Linked DNA regions of Mus musculus. The protein of the gene in region 2 interacts with the protein of the main gene of each other region in a biochemical or structural test. Links are inferred from orthologs where the notes say so. Each region holds a gene or a part of one and is shown on either strand. Other genes may lie near its edges.

Region 1 (3,624 bases), on a different chromosome or scaffold from region 2:
GTGTCTGCTGGAACAGAATCACACATGCCGTCCTGGCTGCACAGAGTGAATTCTAGGGAAGGGAGTGTGGGAAAGCGTGTGAGGAATCCTGGAGGAGTAAGGGGCTGCCAGGGAGGAAGCTCTGGTGCGTCTGCCTCCTCCTCCCACCCAGGCCACTGGAGGGCAACCCACTGGGCCCAGAGGACTTGAGGAGGGCAGAGCTGCCCATGTTCTGGAACCTGGCGTTACCTCCACAGCCCTGGTGGCTCCAGAGCTGCTGGCTCGCACTTGGAAGAGGCGGATACTGGCAGGAGCTGTCTGCCCACCATCACGGGAGGTGCCACCCTTGTAGATGATCATGGGCTTCCCGCCAAACAAGCTCATGAGGTGTGCAGGCTCTTTGCCTTGGACCACTCGGCTCTGGCAGTGAGAAAGGAAAGAGTCAGCTTTTCTTTTTCTTTTTAATGGTCCTGGACCATTCCTCCAGGAAGGCCACCACACTGTGTCTGACTATGGTTGGGGGCACTGTGCAGGGAACAACATCAATCATACTCTGCAGCACCACAGTACTGAGAAGAGAAAGTTGGAGATGATGTCACTGCTCAGGCCCCCTGGGTGCTGTTTTCCCACCATCCATCCCTGTGAAGCCTTGCCTTACAGCCCCTGAGTCCGGTCCAAAAACCAGGGAAGTCCAAGTTTATAAACATGACCTTAAAAGGAAGGACGGAGTGCTTGAGTACATTCTTTCAGAATGCTGAGGTCAGTCCCAGACACATGAAAGCGTGAGGGAATGCAAAGAGCCTTTCGGGTCTGGAGGCACCACTGTACCCCATATGGCCCCAACTTCCAACTTTCCCCTATCTCTAGCCTGTCTTCTTACTTAGATCTAAACACAGCACATAGATTTCCTGTCCTAAATGTGCCCTGCAGGGATCAACTGTGTCATCCCCTGGTGGACAACCAAGGGAGATATATATATCTGGATACAGACATTAAGTCTAGTGCATAGGGGCCATGCATAAACGTTTATTGCATGGGTAGGTGAGTAGATAGACAGATGGATAGATGTATGGGTGGGTGAGTGGATGGATGGATGGATGCGTGGGTGGGTGGATGGATGGATGGATGGATGGATGATGGATAGGTGGATGGGTGGATGGATGGATGGATGGATGGGTGGATGGATGGATAAGTGGACAGGTGGATAGATGGATGGGTGGATGGATGGGTGGATGGATGGGTGGATGGATGGATGATAGATGGATGACGGATGAACGGATGGATAATTAGGCAGCTAAGTGAGCAAACAGATGAAGTCCTGACTGAAGCCATAAGAGGCAATACTCTGGCTCACCTGGACAGGAGTTCCTCCCAGCTCCTCATCCAGCTGGGCAGTCAGGATGGCAGAAGCAGCAACCTCATCCTGGGTAGACTGGGCACCCTGCCTAGAAGAGGGAGAAAGACTCAGCTCTAGTTTCCATAGTTCCTAGTTTATGGGCCTCTTTCTTGCTCTGAGCTCTAGTAACCCATGAAGCTGCTTGTTGTAGGGGTGACCTGGGATGGAAAAGTGCAGGGACTGTGGGGAGAGCCAGAGACAGCAGCTTTGTCAACCTGCCTACTCCTAGCTCAGGTACACCGGGAAGATTCCCTGTCCTAAATGTGCCTGCGGAACTCCCTGGGTCCTCTGATAGACATACAAAGAGCGTACTGAGACTCAGATGCACAAAAGTAGTCGGGGCATTTGCTGGTATAAAAAGACAGAAACAGCTGGCATGATGTGTGCCATCTGTGAGGAAAGACACCAGTCAATCACCCTCATGGGGACATGTGAAAAGGACTCCTGGATGTGTGCTGTGTGTGGTAACTTCCCTGAGAGGGAGAGTTAGGGAGACTCAAGGTCCCCCCACCTCAGCTTCTTGCCAAGGCTGGGCCTTATATTGTCCCTGGCACACACCATATGTCAAAAAGCCTCCTAAGACGTTTGAATCGTATGTTGAACTTAGTGATACAGGACTGCAGTTTCAGCTACCTGGGGAATTAAGGGAGGAGGATTGCAAGTTCAAGGCCTGCATGGGCAAATTAGTGGGGCTCTGTCTCAAAATAAAAGGTAAAAAATGGTATCACTGGCAGTGGCTTGCCTAGCATATGCTAGGCTCTGGGTTCAAACTTCAGCATCCCCATGTCCCTGCAATAACGATATCTGTATTTAGCTTTTAAATGCTGATGCTCTCAGTCAGACAGCAGTGGTACACTCCTTTAGTGACAGCACTTGGGAAGTGAAGGCATGTGGATATCTGTGAGTTCAAGGACAGCCAGGGCTACACTGAAAATCCCTGTCTCGCTCGAAAAACCGAAACAAACAAACAAAACAAAACAAGATAAACAAGCAAACAAAAAGCAGAAGCTTTTAAAAATATGGGATTGCCAGACAGTGTGTGCACTTGATTCCTGGGTACCACTCTTCAGGGGCTACGGTCATAAAGGAGCGGTAATCGGTGTCACAGTCCCAGAAGGCTTAGGAGACCCCTTGGGGTCCTAAGCCCTAGAGATGTCCCATGGGATCTTGGGTTAGGGCCTGGGCCAGGAAAGACTGAGGAATGCGGACCTGGTGACACAGAGTAGACACAGACAGATGCACAGCACTGCATCAGCCGGCCCACGGCTGCCTGGGCTGTGAAAGGAAGCAGGCGGGGCAGAACTTATGTGAGAACTGACCAGGGTTTCTTGCTTTGGTTTCTTTTGTGGGTTTTTTTTTTTTCAACTCTTCAGTAGGTCTAAAATTATTTCAAAATGAAACTTCAATGGAGAAGAAATATGACAACTATTATTCAGACAAAAGTCTGAGAGTGTCTAGTAACAGGGTCACCAGTATGTTATTGTTTATCTTTCAGTACTAGGGGAGGGACCCAGAGCCGCCAGCATGCACACAAGTGTTCTGCCACTGAGCCACACCCTGACCCCCAATGCAAACTTAAAGTAAAAAAAAAAAAACAACACTTTATAAACTATCCATGAGTTTTAACAACACAATCTGCTTAGGTGGATCCAGGGAAACAGGGACTCCTGCATGTAGCTGGCAGGAGTACAGGGATATGAAAGGCCCAGGCACTAGCCAGGGAAACTGGAGCTATCTATCAAAATGACTGACAGGTCCATTGACTGGCAATCCACTCCTGGGAACTCATCATAGAGACTTCTCTACACACCCACCTGTTGCTTAAAGTCACTGACACTGATGAGACAGCGGACTAGCACCCAAGCATGCATGGGTGTGGGAGCTTGTCAGTAAACCACAGTACAGCAACCCAAAGGGATGGCATGGCTGTTAGACACACACCCACTCCAGGAAGCTGTAAATTTCCAGGAAGGTAATAGCCAAAAGGCCAGCTACAGGGAAATGTGCTTAGTGTGCGCTTACATTATACATCCTTCCAGTAATCATGCAAAAAGGATAAATAAAAATTGCCAAACTGGTCAAGAGGAAAGGGTGGGGCTTGGCAGATGAGTCACAGGTGTAACGGAAAGTTCAGAATGACACCTTTGGGCTTTGCTTTGGATCTGGAGCAATGTGATTCTATGTTCTTCTGTAAAACAATTATTTAAATGATTGATATAATTAATAATTATAATTTAAATAATTATTAT
Region 2 (4,424 bases):
TGTCGATTGTCGTCCTGAGGAGAGAGAGCGCGAACGCAGACGCGAGTGCGCCTAGAAGCATTTGCGGTGCACAATGGAGGGGCCAGCCTCGTCGTACTCCTGCTTGGTGATCCACATCTGCTGGAAGGTGGACAGCGAGGCCAGGATGGAGCCACCGATCCACACTGAGTACTTGCGCTCAGGGGGGGCGATGATCTGCAAGACAAGAGTGTCACGTGCCTGCGTGTTCCCCCCGCCCCTGGTCTCCACCCACACCAGGCACGTCATCCACCTTGATCTTCATGGTGCTGGGAGCCAGAGCTGTGATCTCCTTCTGCATGCGGTCAGCGATACCAGGGTACATGGTGGTGCCCCCTGACATGACGTTGTTGGCATACAGGTCCTTCCTGATGTCGATGTCGCACTTCATGATGCTGTTGTAGGTGGTCTCATGGATCCCCGCAGACTCCATACCTGGTGTCCGGGGGAGAGGCAGTGTGAGCAACCGCAGAGTCGGGCTAAGGGACCGGCGGGTGGAGACCCCGTACTCTGTGGCGTGGGGCGAGGGAAAACTGATTCCCGCACACCAGCGGATCGGGCGGCTCACCGATAAAGGAAGGCTGGAAGAGCGTCTCCGGGCAACGGAAACGCTCATTGCCGATGGTGATGACCTGCCCGTCGGGCAGCTCATAGCTCTTCTCCAGGGAGGAGGAAGAGGCAGCGGTGGCCATCTCATTCTCGAAGTCCAGGGCCACATAGCACAGCTTCTCTTTGATGTCGCGCACAATCTCACGTTCAGCTGCAGGAGCAAAAGCAGTGGGGGGCCTCAGGGCAAGGCCTGGGGCGTGTGCTCACCCTCTGCCCGCCCTCCCTCAGCGGGCATTGGAAGCACGCACCTGTGGTCACGAAGGAATAGCCACGCTCAGTGAGGATTTTCATCAGGTAGTCAGTGAGGTCGCGACCGGCCAGGTCCAGACGCATGATGGCGTGTGGCAGGGCATAGCCCTCATAGATGGGCACGTTGTGGGTGACACCGTCCCCAGAATCCAACACGATGCCTGTGCAGGGGAGAGGCAGTATGTGAGTGGAGGGGACCAGCAGGCGGCGCAGGTCGGGATACTGCAGAGGATTAAAAAGCGGGGCTGGAATGTTGGAGCAATCCTACCAGGGCCAGCGTGGGCCATGTGTGGGCCATGTGTGAGCGCTTACCGGTGGTACGGCCGGAAGCATAGAGGGACAGCACCGCCTGGATAGCCACATACATGGCAGGCACGTTGAAGGTCTCAAACATGATTTGAGTCATCTTCTCCCGGTTAGCTTTGGGGTTCAGGGGGGCCTCGGTGAGCAGAGTCGGGTGCTCCTCAGGGGCCACACGCAGCTCATTGTAGAAGGTGTGGTGCCAGATCTTCTCCATGTCGTCCCAGTTGGTGATGATGCCATGTTCAATGGGGTACTTCAGGGTCAGGATACCTCGCTTGCTCTGGGCCTCATCACCCACGTAGGAGTCCTTCTGACCCATACCTACCATGACACCCTGCAGATAGAGACATCAGACACTTGTTACTACAGCCAGGGGTGAGGAGAACATTGGCTGGATTCAGAGAGCCTATCTTTCCCTGCCAGCAGCCTGACCTGGTGACGGGGTCGGCCCACGATGGATGGGAACACAGCCCTGGGGGCATCATCCCCGGCAAAGCCAGCTTTCACCAGGCCAGAGCCGTTGTCACACACAAGAGCGGTGGTCTCGTCTTCGTCGCACATGGTGTCTAGTTTCTGCAAAGACAAGGTGTTGAGTGCTGTGTATATGTGATGGGGGGGGGGGGTTAGGGTGAGGCTCCGCTTAACCCATCTTCACTTTGGAGATCCAAAAACTCCTTTCCCCCTTCCCCTTCCTTGCACGGGGGTCAGAGGATGCTCTTCCAGCTTAAGGCTGTGCTTTCGCTATGGGGGAGCTGTCTGTGGATCACACTAAGTCCTCCAACTAGGCATGCAGGGGATATCCTGAGACCCTCTACATTCATTGTAGGCCACCACACACACCACAGCTAGCACTAGTCCTATCCTCTCTGCTCACAATCTCATCTGTGAAGGAGGTATTAAGGCACGCTGCCCACCACCTGCCTGTCCTGTGAGAGGGTCGAGGATTCTGCCCGGGGAAGGGCGATATTGTCACAACTATGGAAAAGCTGTTGAACACTCACAGCATCCCAAACTCAGAAGAAACCCTTCCACCTGTCTCCCATTTCAGAGAAGAGTAGCCAGGGTTGCTGCCCTTTAGAAAAGCCTTGATCTCAAAGGGAGTCGCCCCAAGGCTAAGGCCAGGCTTGACTCTCTCCAAGCTCATCTTCAAATCAGTCTCCCAGGAGCTGGGGTGTAGCTCAGTGGGAGATCCAGCCAACCTCTTGCATCACAAGAGCCCAGATTTGATCCCAGCAGAGAAAGAGGGGAAAGGGGAATGAAAAGCCGGAAAGAAATCTCAACCAACCAGAGGCTGGCGTGTGGCTCAGTAGGAGAGCACCGGCTTGTTCACTTGCAGGACTTGGATTTAGTCCCCAGTAAGAGGGGAGGGAGGAGTCTGCGGGTGGTAATGGATAGATGTCAGACCCCCAGGCATATCCTAAATGCCCAGTCAGCAGCCCAAATGGGCTGGATGTGAGTTTGGAGAAATTTCCAGAACTCAGTGCTAAATACAAGCCCAAGGCTCAATAGCTTTCTTTGCTGGGTCTCCAGGTCACCCTCCCCACCTCCACCCTACCTGCTGCTCTGACTCTGGCCCTGGGTGCCGAGGGTAGGAAGTGAGGCTTCACGTCCGTGTGACCGCCTGTCCCCTTGCACAGGTTTTTATATAGTCCCGGGAGCTCTCCCCACACCGCCCCGAAGGAATGTTGCTGCCCTTCCCAAGCCATATTTGGGTGTCGGGCACTAGAGTCCCTTCCTTCGGCTGGTTCTCAGCCTGGGTCCCCGCCCGGGTCTCCTGCACTGACCAAAGAAGGAGAGGACTGGCCCTGGCCCAGGTAGCTAGGACCGGACCAGGCCGTATATGGAGAGTATCCCCAGCTGTCTGCCCCTCCCAACTGGCTCCAAGGCTCACGGAAGGGCTGTGCTGGGCCAAAGGTCACTGCTTTGCAGACTGCTGGTCTGTACTTCCCAAGATTTACCTGTTTGAAAGGTCTCCCCAGTTCTGCCCACCTGGACACACGATTGCTGACCTGCCACAATGCACCCCATTTATGGGTTCTTAACTCAGACTACTAAGCCTTGATGCTTAAGCTCAGGGGAGGTAGCCCTGTGGTCAGGTGAGCCGGGAGGAGTCATGGGCTCCAGGTAGGGATGGAAAATAAGCCCCACATTTGAACTCCATTTTCTTTCCCACTTTGAAGCTCCCCCAATCCAGAGATCTGACACACATCACCCCCATTCACCCCCACAAGGCTGTCAGTCAGTGTAGGATATGCAGCTGTCACTGGGCAGACAACTGGTGGAAGAGGGGGAGGAGGTAGTGAGAGGAGGCATGGGGACTATGTGGCCCTGGCACACAGAATGGGAGGCCAGGGCATTAGAGCTGTCCCTGCATTCTGCAGTGTACTCTTGAAAGGAATGGAAGGGTCAGTGTGTGTGTGTGTGTGTGTGTGTGTGTGTGTGTGTGTGTGTGTGTAAATCCCAAACTCGGGATTGACCGTCATCGAGTTGGCTAGGCTGAGCAAATGCTACCCCTTCTTTGGTGGCACTAAGCTTCCCTCCCCTGGGTCTGAAAGAAGGATCATACCTGGAACTGTTGGGACCTAGAGGGGGCTGAGGCAGAGAGAGGTGCTGATGAAGATATACCTTCTAAGGAGCACTAAGACCTTACACTGGTGCCCAGGAGCGGCCCCTCCCAGGCAGACTCATCTTTATATTTAGAGGATGATGCCCGTCAGCCCGGCTGCTTCCCATGCACCTTGGGGCCACCACCTGCCAGGCTTGTGTGGGTTCTATTTATACCGCTGATAGATGGGAATCTGCTTTTGGGTTTCTAGAAGGAGCAACTTATGGAAGCTGGGATGGGGGTGAGTAGAGGTCATCTCTTGGCGCCTGTCTCAATTTGGGCAGGGAGAGGGATAAGAAAGCCCAAAGGAAAAGTGTTCTGTGACCAAACAGGCGACATGCTTTGAGGGGTGTGCATCAGAGCCAAGCCACCATGGAGCCATTCACTTTTCTGATGGCTTAAGCGCTCCCAAAATAGCTGTTCCCATTTGGAGTGGAACTTAGCAGCTGGGACAGGTGCAGAGCCTCTGAGAGCAGAGGCTCCATGAAGCGATTTCAGGATCCCACACAGCTCTTCCTAAACCTGAGCTGCACTGCCTAACGGGCATCAGCTCTGTGGCTTTGCCTGTGCCCTGGGCCAGGACCTGGAACTGTTAAAAAGAAGCAAGCAGCAAATGCAGACTATGGTCAGCTTTGGGGGT
Region 3 (4,059 bases), on a different chromosome or scaffold from region 2:
GATGTGTTACCAGAGAAGTGACATCTAATGCGCGCTCAAACAGGTCTAGGGCCCCATCCAAAGGGCAGAAAGGCAGTCTCCCAAGTAGAGCATTAACTGGGGAACCACATGGGTCACCTGCTCCTCCCTACCCCCATCTCCTTCCTCCCAAGTAAAAGGGAAGTAGATGAAGAAATGGGGAAGTCCAAGCTGCTCCAGCAGCGGCAGTTTAGGGTCCCTAATAACACTTGACATTACCAGAGAGGCAAAGCCTCTGCCATAAAAATGCTTAGCAAAGGCTTTCTGGAAACATCCCTCCAGGGCACAGAAAAGGAGAAGGAATGTTTTATAGTTCTCTGTGTCTCAGATATAATCCCAGCGATGCCCTTTTAAAAATATCCTACGGAGCTACCTCCAACCACCTGCCACTTGCAGGCACAAGCTTGGTATCTGTAATTACTTTTTAGTAGCAAGTGGGTCCCTGCGACTTACGGACTCAGGTGCCATTTTGAAACCGGCACATCTCTACCTGAATCGTCCACATGTGTTGCAGGGAAAACCTTCCCTTCAAAAGCTAGTTCGCGCTTCAGCTTCAATCCTCAGATAATAGAGCTGATGGACTTGTGGTCTTTGGGAATCCTTGGCTCCCATTAGCAATCACTTTTAATTGATGAAAATAAGAAAAGGAAAATGAACTTCCTTATTGTCAGTCAGTAACAGAAGTTGACTTTGACTTAATTTTGAAGGGGCCGGCTGTGTTCTCTCTGAAGCCCCCTTACACCTAGCAAATGTTAGGCACTTGACTCGATTGCTCACGGAAATTATAGCAAACAATACAAATGCTGCGGCGCTAAAACTTTTCTTTTAAAAATCCACTCAAGGATCCTTTATCGCCCTCTCAAATCAAGGGGGAGACAAGCGAGGGAGACAAAGAGGGCCGGGTGGGGCTGTCCACTGGTCTGAAAGCTGAGTCATTGGAATCAGACCCCAGCAGCTCTTGTATGAGGGACACCTCACCCTATCTTGGGGGCGTTGGCTGCAGACAAAGCCGGTTTCAAAGTAAAGAAAAGCCTGTCCCCTTAGGTGCCACTCAGGCCATTAGTTATCACGCATTGAACCTTAAGAACAGGTTTGGGCGGCTGCTGCAAAAGTTCATGATAATAAAATAGACGTCAAATGGGGGGGAAAGCATTTTGAAGGCGTTTGTTCCTTTTCTAGTTCCGCCATCGATGTGGTTCAAAGGCGCTGGTGAATGGGGATGTGGGGGTTGGGAGGGGGTCTGACAGCCTCCGAACGCCCTTCCGGAGATGCGGCGCGAAGGAGTTAAGCCGGACTACGAGTGACATCACCTCATTTGCATAGAAGCACACATAAAGCGGCGTTCGCCGCGCCCCTCCCGACAATCCGCAGCGGCTTCTGAGCAGATCAGACTCTCCTCGTTCGCGCAGCTCGCTCGGGTGAGCCCCAGGGCCCCTTCCTTCTGTCCTTCCCTGCCTGTCCAGCGCAGGCACTTGCCCCTCATCCTCCTCGTCCTTAAAGCCAAGTCCAAGGCATGGTAGTTTCGGGGAATTGGGGGGGGGGGATGCTAAACTCTTCCAGATGCCGAGTAACGGGAAGGGGAACTTGATTAAGAAAGAGAAAACCCCATAAAATTGGGCATTCTGTTGCGCAGCTTAGAGGGGAATTGTTTTTTTTTTCTCCTCGACCCTCTCTCCGAAATATTTTCCCTTGCCTAGCTAGCTGTAATTAATCAGAATTAGAAAGATCCTTTGTTCAAACGCTCTGTGCTCCCCTTAATCGCCTAATGGCTTCGAGGGCTGTTATCTGTGGCGGGTTTAACCTTCCCGGCCTTTAGCGTGAAAATTCGGAAGCCCTTGCAGACGAATGTATGCAAAGGCCGTCAAAAGGCCCCTGTATGCAGATCAAGATGCTTTTGCGAGAAGTGGGGAGGCAGTTTTGTGTGCCAAGGCAGCATTGTTGGACTAGAGAGAGGAGAGGAAGCGAGTAGGGCGGTGGTCGGCAGCTGGCGGCGTCAGCTCCCCCGCCTTTGTGAGGAGGAGAAAGCTGGACCGCCTGGCATCTTTTGGAGAGCAAGCCCTTCTAGAAAACGGAGATGCGTATTGCGACCTTGGCTCCTTTTTAAGAGATTTTACTAGACTTTCCCCCACTTAAACTGGAAATGGCTTCGATCTATCCAGACTTTAATTTTTTCAAAGCTGCAATGTTAACATTCCGCAATGGTGAATTTTATTATACGGGAATACTCACCTTTGACTATTTCCACCTTCGTTCTTTGAATCTTCCCTTTGGGAATATTAAGGGGGAAGATTTTTTTCCTATAGAAAGAGGAAGATCTTTAGAGAGGACTCGACAAGGAAAGCACACAGAGGGAGAGGCAGTAGGATTTCAGGCTTTGGGCTTTCCGGCGGGGTGGGGGTGTGCTTTTGGAACTGGGAGAGGCGAGGGTGGGTGGCTCTTTCTTAGCTCTGGTCTTGGCTTTTGTACCTGCAGCTCCTTCCAGCAACCATGTCTGACAAACCCGATATGGCTGAGATCGAGAAATTCGATAAGTCGAAGTTGAAGAAAACAGAAACGCAAGAGAAAAATCCTCTGCCTTCAAAAGAAAGTAAGCTGTTCGCCCCCACCCATTTTCAGAACGGGCTGGGCGGGAGCAGAGCAGAGCGGGGAGCAGCGGCCGGGAGGAGGAAGGGAGGGGCAGCAGGGAGGATGGGGGGGGGGGCTGCGGGGGAGGAGTCGACAGTTTGATGATGATGAATATGGCCTGCAAAGGTTAATTAAAAACTGTTTTGCAGTCAACAAGCGCCGGGCTCTAGTGATTTAATAATGGAATATTTCATATTCCATATTGTGCATATACATTTATTGGGTAACTGTACTTCTGTTTAGCATGTCTTGCTTAGCGAGGCTGCTATGTGTCTTTCTAGAATTTTTATAGGGTTTTTAAATGGAAATCATGTCATTTTATAGAATGCTCTAAGTCTCCTTTTTTTTTTCTTTTCTTCACAGCAATTGAACAAGAGAAGCAAGCTGGCGAATCGTAATGAGGCGAGCGCCGCCAATATGCACTGTACATTCCACGAGCATTGCCTTCTTATTTTACTTCTTTTAGCTGTTTAACTTTGTAAGATGCAAAGAGGTTGGATCAAGTTTAAATGACTGTGCTGCCCCTTTCACATCAAAGAATCAGAACTACTGAGCAGGAAGGCCTCCCCTGCCTCTCCCACCCATCTGATGGTCTGGCTAGCAGAGAGGGAAAAGAACTTGCATGTTGGTGAAGGAAAAAGCTGGGTGGGAGATGATGAAATAGAGAGGAAAATTCAAGATGGTCAAAGATGTCCTGCAGGATGTAAAATGCAGTTTAATCAGAGTGCCATTTTTTTTTGTTCAAACAATTTTAATTATTGGAATGCACAATTTTTTTAATATGCAAATAAAGTTTTAAAACCTGATTGGTGTGTCTGCTTGGTGACTGGAAGGAGTAGTTAAATGAGTGATAAAACCCTTGCAAAACTGCCTTGCCTCTTGGTCACTGGGACATAGAAGAGACAAACGTAAACTGCCTTGGCCTAACAGCTCTGGCTTAGTCCAGGTCTGTGAAATACCCTGTCTATAGCAAATGATTGGGAGGTCATCATAAGAGTTCCTCATGGGTTACATGGAAGAGTTAATGAAAATATTTGAAATTGGTATAGCCACCATGGTTGGAAGAAGGGGGCTGTGGAATGAAGGGGTAGGGGGGAGGAACTCACGTGTAGTTAGAGCCTTTCAGGAGTTTTGGAAAGCCAACATTGAATTTATTACATATCACTCAACGCAAAGGGTGTTGGTTTGGTACACTAGCATTAGGTATCAACATGAACTTGGCTAACCAACTATCTGGTATTGAACAAGTGGAATTTAGGGTAAAAATAGTATTTGCTTTAGAAAGGAATTTAGAATTGGTTTGTCCTTGTCTAGCGGCCAGTTTGCAAATGAAGCTCAATGTTTAAAATCGGCTTTATTAAAGTAAACGTGTTTACCAGTAAGTGATGATCTGAACTTAGTGAAATCCTCATAAGG

Evidence for each region.
Region 1: the proteins of Acta1 (region 2) and Gsn are reported together in a solved structure, tested with the Homo sapiens proteins (3 studies listed by BioGRID and IntAct). The link is inferred for Mus musculus from reciprocal best matches to the Homo sapiens genes ACTA1 and GSN.
Region 3: the proteins of Acta1 (region 2) and Tmsb4x form a complex in vitro, tested with the Homo sapiens proteins (2 studies listed by BioGRID). The link is inferred for Mus musculus from reciprocal best matches to the Homo sapiens genes ACTA1 and TMSB4X.

Annotation. Positions count from the first base shown.
Region 1 is NC_000068.7:35,299,266-35,302,889, reverse strand, and holds part of Gsn (gelsolin isoform 1 precursor), read right to left. Parts: intron 1,425-3,624; coding exon 1,334-1,424; intron 400-1,333; coding exon 229-399; intron 1-228. UniProt on the Homo sapiens protein: Calcium-regulated, actin-modulating protein that binds to the plus (or barbed) ends of actin monomers or filaments, preventing monomer exchange (end-blocking or capping).
Region 2 is NC_000074.6:123,891,958-123,896,381, forward strand, and holds the start of Acta1 (actin, alpha skeletal muscle), read right to left. Parts: upstream 2,819-4,424; 5' UTR 2,735-2,818; intron 2,555-2,734; exon of another isoform or gene 2,465-2,554; intron 1,753-2,464; 5' UTR 1,741-1,752; coding exon 1,612-1,740; intron 1,514-1,611; coding exon 1,189-1,513; intron 1,038-1,188; coding exon 876-1,037; intron 779-875; coding exon 587-778; intron 454-586; coding exon 272-453; intron 196-271; coding exon 52-195; 3' UTR 1-51. UniProt on the Homo sapiens protein: Actins are highly conserved proteins that are involved in various types of cell motility and are ubiquitously expressed in all eukaryotic cells.
Region 3 is NC_000086.7:167,206,483-167,210,541, reverse strand, and holds Tmsb4x (thymosin beta-4), read left to right. Parts: upstream 1-1,323; 5' UTR 1,324-1,436; intron 1,437-2,490; 5' UTR 2,491-2,505; coding exon 2,506-2,605; intron 2,606-3,006; coding exon 3,007-3,041; 3' UTR 3,042-3,448; downstream 3,449-4,059.